Rattus norvegicus: one gene and its partner. The protein of the gene in region 2 interacts with the protein of the main gene of each other region in a biochemical or structural test. Links are inferred from orthologs where the notes say so. Each region holds a gene or a part of one and is shown on either strand. Other genes may lie near its edges.

Region 1 (4,280 bases), on a different chromosome or scaffold from region 2:
TCCATATAATAACAGCACAAAATGCCAAGCCACCCAGGTAACAGTCACCTAGGCCTTAACTTTACATCTAGACCTTAATATTTTACCTAAGTCTTAACACATCTCAACCAAAATTTACTTATTTCGAAGAAGAAATTTACTCCTTATAATCAAAGATTAAACTTAGTAGCACTGATAGTGAAGAATGTATGGTTCCCAGGAAGCATCTTGAAGAAAATGTTGAAGATAAAAATTACTCAAAGGCTGGTGTTCTAGGTCAGTGCTGAAGCTATGTCTAGTGAGGCAGGTAGGAGGGGACAATGATAGTCTCCTGGAAACCAAACATCTTAAATTATTGCCAACAGCCCAGCTGCCAATCTGTCTACAAAAAATTACGATAAACTAAACTGTACACGTTGGCTTAAGTGCCTTAGCCCTTTCAAAAGTTACAACGTCCCACTATTTATTAATGGGACCGTATGTGAAGTTTTTTGGTTTTGCCTGTGTTTGTGTTTGGAGACAGGTTTCTTCAGTGTTGCCCTGGCTGTCCTGGAACTTGACTTGCTTGCCTGAGCGTCTCATCTAAAGTGCTGGGATTAAAGCCATCTCCTGGCTGAGCTTTTTTTTTTTAATAATATAATTTCCCTGATGAATGTGGCACTAGTTATTAATAATCACCCGGAAAGAAGCAAGTATCAGACTCGCTTGAGATAAACCAATTTTTTTTTTTTTTTTTTTGGTCTTCTCTCCAAAAGCAAGTGTGCAGAGGGCCATAGCTCATGGTAGGCCAAACTCACAGCTTTGGATCAGACTACTAATTTCTGATTTAGCCGTTTGTGCTACGGAGGGTAGCCACTTATTTGAAAGCTTCGTTTGTTTTTTTTTTTTTTTTTTTTGTCATAAATGAGCACAGGGAGTTCCGATCTGAACGCTGTTAAGCAGTTACAAAGGCCTTTTTCCCCACACGCCGGGATATGCTCCTCTCACTCAGTGCCCTAATTCCGACAGCTAAGGACGTAGGAAAAGGAAGTTCTTCGGTAAAGACCAGGGCTGCTCCGCCACGTGGCCCTCCGATGGCCCTTCGGCCCACACATCCCTCCACAGAGCAGGCGAGCTCCCCTAGGGCCTGATTGAGGAAACGCGGGGACGCAGAGCGCGGGCAGCGACGGGCGGAAGCTGCGGGCTGCCAGCACCGGCGGTTCCCGCCCGCCCGGGCGGGGTGAAGGGCGGGGCGAGCACTCGGAAATCCGTCGAGGAGGGCGGGTGGGACCCCGGGAGTGAGACTTCCGGTGGCGCAAAGCGTGTCGGGATCAGCTTGCGGCAAACCTCCTTCCCCGGCCCGTAGAAAGACCACCGTTAGCGCCGCTTCTGCTCCCACAGCCTGCTCTCGGCCAAACGCTCGGTCGCGGCGACTGCCGCTGCGGCTCCCGCTGTTTTCGGCCCTGTCCACTTGGTTCCCAGGCAGCCAGCGTGCGTTCAGCTGCGGCTTCGGCAGACATGTTGTGAGGCGGCGGCGCGGGTGCCTGAAGGATGGTTTGGCCGAGGCGGCTGCAACCGCTGCTAGTGGCGGTGGCCGCGGGGGCTCCGGCTCTGTAGAGCCGACCCTGCTGTGGTGCGTCCGCCCGGTACTGCGGCCGGGCGGGTACTCCTCGGTCTTGCGTGCGCCCCCGAGCCGTTTAGGTTCGGTTAGGCGACAGCGCCAGTCCGTTTGAGGCGACACGCAAGGTGGTTCTTGAGCCCTGGGAGTGGTGTCCCCAGAGCGAGCCCTCAGCCCCCTGACCTCTCCTTCATATCCGCACTAAAATCTCTCACACAGTGGGTGTTCCCTGCCCTCGAGCCCGCTCCTTCCTGGTTTCTGCTGCACTCTGAGCCTCCCGGACCCCGACATCTCTCTCCAGGGACAGCCTGTTGAGAAATCTTCGTGGAGTGGTGGACTAGAGGGAGGACTTTAAAAGTTAGGGCTTGAAAGACAGGAAGGCACGATGGCTTCCTCGTCTGGCAACGACGATGATCTCACTATCCCGAGAGCTGCTATAAATAAGATGATCAAAGAGACTCTCCCTAATGTCAGGGTGGCCAACGATGCCCGAGAGCTCGTAGTGAACTGCTGCACTGAATTCATTCACCTTATATCTTCCGAAGCCAACGAGATTTGTAACAAGTCAGAAAAGAAGACAATCTCACCAGAGCATGTCATCCAAGGTAAGCAATTTGTGTGGGATTTAATTTAAATGAAGGTCCAGGCTAATAGAGTCACTCCTAGTGTCACGGAGCCTTCATTCCACTTCACTAGTAAGTGCAGTTACCTTAAAATACCTATGTAGCATTCTTCGGACATTTTCTTCATCCAGCTAATGCAAGTAAGAAGTACAAACATTAGGGTCAGCAAACATCCACAACATTTAACCAGTACAGTTTCCGATCAGGTCTTTAAGCAACAAGAATTGACTGCCTACAGCTAAACTTGGATAGTAACAACTGAGAAAGGAACCTCAAAGTTCTCTCTTGGGAAGTTAAATTTTAGAATTTCAAGCACGAGTCGAGTCAGAGAGTATATCTCTTCCCCACCTGTGCTGAGGAAAAGATTCATTTTGAACACAGGGGTAGAAAAAGTTCTTTGGCTGTGAACGGAGGTCAGTGGTATATCATCTACCTAGCATGCACAAGGGCCCTAGGTCCGAGTTTAAAAAAAAAAGTTATCAACATGAGTATGTTCATTGTTGTAAAGTTAATTTCTTTCCAAAAAGTATAATTTTTGCTTTACAAAACGCTGAGGTGGTGGAACAGTTATCACCAGGTAACCGAGTGCCACATTTTTTCCTTTTTGACTTCCTCCAACTATTGATTGTTCTTTGAAAATTATTTGTAAAGGGTGGCTGGGGCAGGGCGGGGACGACAGTACTCGGGCTTGAACCTAGGGCCTGACACATGCTAGTCAGCATTCTGTTGCTGAGCTGCCCAGCCTGTCCTCTGTCCTGCTGCTCCAATTTGGATGTGTCTATGCGTTTAAGCTTTTATGGAAAAACGCTTCTAAAGGTTCCCACAGTTTCTTTCTTACGCTGGAAAGGATTTGGAGTTGGGATTTTGTTTTGATGATTACAGGGAAAGGAGACGAAAGTTGCTTTTGGCAAATTTTGGGAAATACTTTCTGTGGCTTTTCATGAACTCTTATGAGAAAGTTGCATTCAGTTTGGTAAATCACTTCTATTATAAATCTATTGAAAATGAGGACAACTTCTTGATTACTTTTAAGGTTAAAAGGAACAAATTTAATCATATTAGGCAGGTAGTTCGTTGCCATTTTATACATTTAAAAATTTTACTTTCCTGTTGATAGAGAACATATCTGATCATATGGAACATAACCATTTTGCAGTCAGTATTGACAAGAAGGTCACGTGTTTAATTTTTGAGCCTTTATCCTGTGCTGATGGTAGATTTAAAGCACACCTTGCTGTGATGAGGGGGGTCTCAAGGCTGAGTACTTAGCATGGCAGAGGTCAATCCCAGTAGGTAGTAAGAGTCGTGATGATTGATAGATGTGTGTGTGTGTATAATCATATCACATGCACATATACTCTGCCATTTCAGCACATAGCAGATAACTAAGAAAAAAGCAATGTTTTTACTTTAGGTTAGGAAAGGCAAGATGCTAACAGGTTCACACTCTTGTTACCTAGCCTGGCCTTAAACTTAGAGCCTCTTCGTGCAGTCTCTTGGTCCTGGGATCATGGACATGTAACTACCATTCCTGCTGCTTATTTGATTCTTTGGTGTGTACATGCTGAATGAACTTGGGGCCTTGTGTGTGCTGGGCAAGCAATGTCCTGCAGAGCTATCTTTCCAGCTGACATACTTGATTCTTAAAACTAGTATTTTTTTTTCCTACTTGTTTGGTTTGCTGAGTGGTAAGAAAAATGGAAACCAAGTGTTTTGGGGTTTTTTGGTCTTTTTTTTTTTTTTTTTAGTTTTTTTTTTAGTTTTTAAGTCTCTTAGAAGATATTTAACAAGTAGCTAACATTTCCTTTGACTTTTTGTGAAGGAATGGAAGAACCACCTTTTGTCAAGCATCAACTTTTTAATGAAACTGCAGATTTCTGTAGGACCTGCCTAAACACTTGTTTGTACCACAGAAGTGGTGATTGTTCCAAAAATCTAATAACACAATCTGTCTTGTGGGAGGCTCATTCTTTTCTAGGGTATATTTAGAGTTCCGATCGACATGATGATTGAAGTGCAGCTGTAGAAAGCCGTGTACTGGGGCTGGGGATTTAGCTCAGTGGTAGAGCGCTTACCTAGGA
Region 2 (4,340 bases):
GCTGGCGCAGGGTACCTGGTGTGATGGGTCGCCCACTGGTCTGCAGAGCCTCCCAGGCTGCCTGCAGCCCTTGTACATCCCCTGAATTGGGGGTGTAACCCTGCCCATAGGCTGCAATCCAGCCCACAGGTTCAGAGTTGGGTGAACCTGGGTCCCCATAGCGAGTAACTTGAGATGGTGGGTACTTGGCCAACCAGGCATCCAGCTCTGTGGCAGGTGTAGTACGGGCATCAAATACCAGCCAGGGGTCCATGTCAGCTGCCATGGCCTCTGCAGCCAGGTGCTCAGCAGTGAAGCCATCCTCACGACCACCTGGAGAGTCCTCCTCTTCCAGCTCTTCATTTGGTTCCATCCTGTTGTGAGGGAACTGAGTCAGAAGTTTGAGACAGTAAATAAAAAGTACTGGGTCCTAGAGGGTGCCAGGCACTGCTTTTAACTGTGGCCTTGGGCAAGTCTTAATGTCTGTGCCTCAGTTGCTTCATCTTCACAATGGGATAACAACTGATCCTGTCTAGATTTGTCTCTAGAATAAAATGCCTGAGGTGGAGTCGCTATTGTCAGTACTACTTTCACTGCTTAAAAACAAGGAAATTGAAACTCTGAGAAAAGGGGCTTGCCCAAGGTCATGTCTGTAAAGACCGTTAAAGCTTAAGTGTTAACTGGCACAGGACTCTGCTACACCACAGGACTAGAGTCTCGCAGGTAGCGCGGCGCTGCAATTTAATGGACGTAGGCAAAACGCAGGTTCGCCAATCTCAGAGGCTGGCTGGAGAGGGGCCAGGCCTCCCATGGTGAACTATTTGGGGCACACTTATCAACACCAAGACTCTGAGACCCAGAGAGGACAGCGGCCCATCTGGGGGTCAATGGGCAACATCCGGACTCGAACCTGATAGGACAGAGTCTGCGCGAGGACCAGGCTCCAGCCTTACCACACCCGCCGCCATTAGTGTTCACAGGTAAGGGTTGCCTCCACCCCCGGGCTGCCCTCTCGTCGCCCCACAGTCACCTCCGGCCTTCACTCCGCTCCGCGCCAACCCAACTTCGGGCCCGGCTCCGTTCCTGCCCGGGGTCTGCGCCGCCACCCCCGCCGCGCCCCGCCCCTGCCACGGCCGCCGCCGCCGCCGCCATCTTAGGGTCCCGCCACCTCAACAACAACTTTATAGACAAACACAGTCACGGGGCGGGGCCAGAGGCGGAACCAGAAGGCTAGGGGCGGGGGCTCCAGGGGAAGGGGCGGGCTGAGTTCAGGGGCGGAGCCAGCGCGAGAATCCCGGGAGGTGCAGGTCTTCAGGAGGCGGAGCTAACGTTCGTACTTTAGCTTGGAGGGCGGGTGGGCGTGGCGGGCGATCCCTGAGAAGGACGCGCACCGCCCTAGAGGATCCAAAGCCCAGCGCTTGGGTTTTGGGAGCTGCTTTTCTACGAACGGCACTAGGACCCTGCGAGAAGTGGTGTGGGCGGAGTAGGCGGCACCAGGACCGGGGGGAACCGCGGCCGGCTGGCGGCGAACAGGCCCGGGGCCTGGAGGCTGCGGGCGGCGGCGCTGGGCCCGGCGCAGCGTGAGAGGCCCCGAGATGCCAAGCAAGAAGAAGAAGTATAACGCGCGGTTTCCGCCGGTGAGCACGTGGCCGGGATGGGCCTCTGCAGGCTAGGTTCCTGGGAGGCTTGGGCCCAGGTCCTGCTGGTGGGGGGACGGGTGCTTTTAGGTGTTCATGGCCTGACGCCCCGCCCCTTCCATGCCCTCCTGGCTTAGTGCCCCCCGCCCTCTTCTCCTGGGATACCCCCCGGTTCACTCAGCTCCCCTGTAGAGACGCAGGAGACGAGCTCTGTCCCCTTCCCCTCGGCAGGCGCGGATCAAGAAGATCATGCAGACAGACGAAGAGATTGGGAAGGTGGCGGCAGCTGTGCCTGTCATCATCTGTATCCTACTAGGGGCTGGCTGGGCTGAGGGGCGTGGGGCGGGACTGCGGCACTCCCCTTTTTGGATTCTCCTTGACGTCCTCAGCCCGGGCACTTGAGCTCTTCCTGGAGTCTCTGTTGAAGAAGGCTTGCCAGGTGACCCAGTCTCGAAATGCCAAAACCATGACCACGTCCCACCTGTGAGTGGCCGCTAAGCTGGGCTTTTGAGGAGGCAGTGTTCTGACAGGGGGAGTGGTGCGCTGCTGAGGGAGGCCAGCTTTGTGGGTTTGGACTGATGTAGGAGAGATAAGGTGTTTCAGGTGGAGGGAACAACCAGAGCCAAGCCGCCCGCCCGGGAGGCCTGGTGGAAGTGGGGAGGGGTGTTCCACTGTACTGACACGAAAAGGTTGTTTCTATGATTCCGGAACATCAGTGTTTTGGGGGCCCTTTTTGAACACCTTCCTCTCCCACTTCTACAGGAAGCAGTGCATTGAGCTTGAACAGCAATTTGACTTCTTGAAAGACTTGGTGGCATCTGTGCCTGACATGCAGGGTGATGGGGAAGACAACCACACGGATGGGGACAAGGGTCCTCGAAGGTGGGTAACCAAAACCAGGTATATAAGTGGGAAAGGCCAAGGCCACAAGGGTTGGGGGTGGCTGGGGGGTGAAGAAGGGGAGAGAGTCCTCTGTGCAGATGGCCTGTACCTTCCCGAAGGGGCCGGAAACCAGGCAGCAGTGGCAGGAAGAATGGAGGCACAGGAAGCAAAAGCAAAGACAAAAAGCTGTCCGGGACAGACTCAGAACAGGAGGTGAGTGAGGCCGGTGGGGAAGGCCTGGTCTCATCCTTGTTACAGCCTTTGTATCTAACTCCATTGCCTTACCAGGGTTCTGGGCTCCCCAGAGAAGGGCCCAGACCTTCTCATTAACCTGACCCTTGCTGTGCTCACAGGATGAGTCTGAGGACACAGATACAGATGGGGAAGAAGAGACACCACAGGCCCCACCCCAAGCCAGTCACCCCCCTGCCCACTTTCAGAGGTGAGCACCCCAGGGATACCAGAAAGAGGCACAACAAACTCCCCAGAGCCAGTTAGTTTTACTTCCCTAGCCATTGGTGGTGGTGGTGGTGGTGGTGGTGGCGGCGGTGGCGGCGGCTGACTTTAGGGAATGGAGGGGAGAGAACACTATTAAACACAAGAGATTGTTCTGAGAAGGCCTTGCCTCCATGGTAGTGGGTCGGGGAGAGAGTCTGGAGAATGGTCTTTGCTGGGACCTTCCCTCCTAGGGGGGTTGTCTCCATGATGTAATGGGTGGCTTTGACTACACCTGCTTCTGTCTCTGGAGAATGGGGGTGGGCCTGTGGGTTGGGCACAGCACAGTTCCAAGCTCTGATTTTCTCCATTTTCTGTCCTGCAGCCCTCCAACTCCCTTCATGCCCTTCACCTCTCCTCTGCCTTTACCCCCAGCACCTCCCGGCCCCTCAGCACCTGAGGCAGAGGACGAAGAGGATTATGACTCCTAGCGCCCTTTAACCCTGGCCATATGCTCTTTTAGTTAGTATTAGTTGCTTTGGGGAGAAGAGAAAGATGGAACTGTTCTTAAATTTATTAAAAAAAAAAAAGGATTTTGGTTTCTTTTCATCCTGTGTCCAGGGCTTCGTGGCTGTATTGCCCATCCCCCCACCTCCCCACATGGGGGCAGCAGGAAGGAACATTGTTGGGGCAGCCAGTGATTGAGTTAAAACAGGGAGTCTGACAGGAGTCTGGGGCACTGAAGAAAGGAATGTGGTCTAGGGACTGAGTTGCCACATGCTAAGGGGTGACCTCTCATTGTGTGGGACCTTGGGCACCTTCTTCCCCTCTCTGGACTGCTGAGAAGGGACAGATGGAATCAGTACTGAGACGGGGCCTTGAAAAGTATAGTGTTGGGCTGGAGAGATGGCTCAGCGGTTAAGAGCACTGACTGCTCTTCCAGAGGTCCTGAGTTCAAATCCCAGCAACCACATGGTGGCTCGCAGCCATCTGTAATGGGATCCGATGCCCTCTTCTGGTGTGTCTGAAGACAGCTACAGTGTACTTATATATAATACATGAATAAATCTTTTTAAAAAAAAAAAAAGAAAAGTATAGTGTTCTGCAGCCAGTGCAGTGACGGGCTCGGCACAGTGAAGAGACGGGTACCTGAGATAGCAGAGGGTCTGCGAAGCATCTTTGGAGCCAAGCAGTCTGCCAACTGTATCTGAACAGCCTGGGCAACCTGTGTGCCAAAGGCAAGAGGTACACCTTCAGGGAGCAGCAGCCATGTGGGGTTCCCAAGTGTAAAAGCCCTAGAGGGGATGGTAAGTCATCTGTCAACAAGCTTACCAGCTTCTTCCTGATGGAGGCATTCAGAGACCCTTAGGGAATGTGCTAGGTGTGTGGGTGCGGACAATGGTGGCT

The links.
Region 1: the proteins of Drap1 (region 2) and Dr1 form a complex in vitro, tested with the Homo sapiens proteins (2 studies listed by BioGRID). The link is inferred for Rattus norvegicus from reciprocal best matches to the Homo sapiens genes DRAP1 and DR1.

Annotation. Positions count from the first base shown.
Region 1 is NC_086032.1:1,611,617-1,615,896, reverse strand, and holds the start of Dr1 (protein Dr1), read left to right. Parts: upstream 1-1,340; 5' UTR 1,341-1,961; coding exon 1,962-2,181; intron 2,182-4,280. UniProt on the Homo sapiens protein: The association of the DR1/DRAP1 heterodimer with TBP results in a functional repression of both activated and basal transcription of class II genes.
Region 2 is NC_086019.1:212,160,792-212,165,131, reverse strand, and holds Drap1 (dr1-associated corepressor), read left to right. Parts: upstream 1-1,369; 5' UTR 1,370-1,574; coding exon 1,575-1,616; intron 1,617-1,847; coding exon 1,848-1,920; intron 1,921-2,005; coding exon 2,006-2,099; intron 2,100-2,378; coding exon 2,379-2,498; intron 2,499-2,596; coding exon of another isoform or gene 2,597-2,617; coding exon 2,618-2,711; intron 2,712-2,851; coding exon 2,852-2,940; intron 2,941-3,318; coding exon 3,319-3,424; 3' UTR 3,425-4,020; downstream 4,021-4,340. Other genes in the region: Bles03 (UPF0696 protein C11orf68 homolog), read right to left, coding at 1-353, 1,010-1,131. UniProt on the Homo sapiens protein: The association of the DR1/DRAP1 heterodimer with TBP results in a functional repression of both activated and basal transcription of class II genes.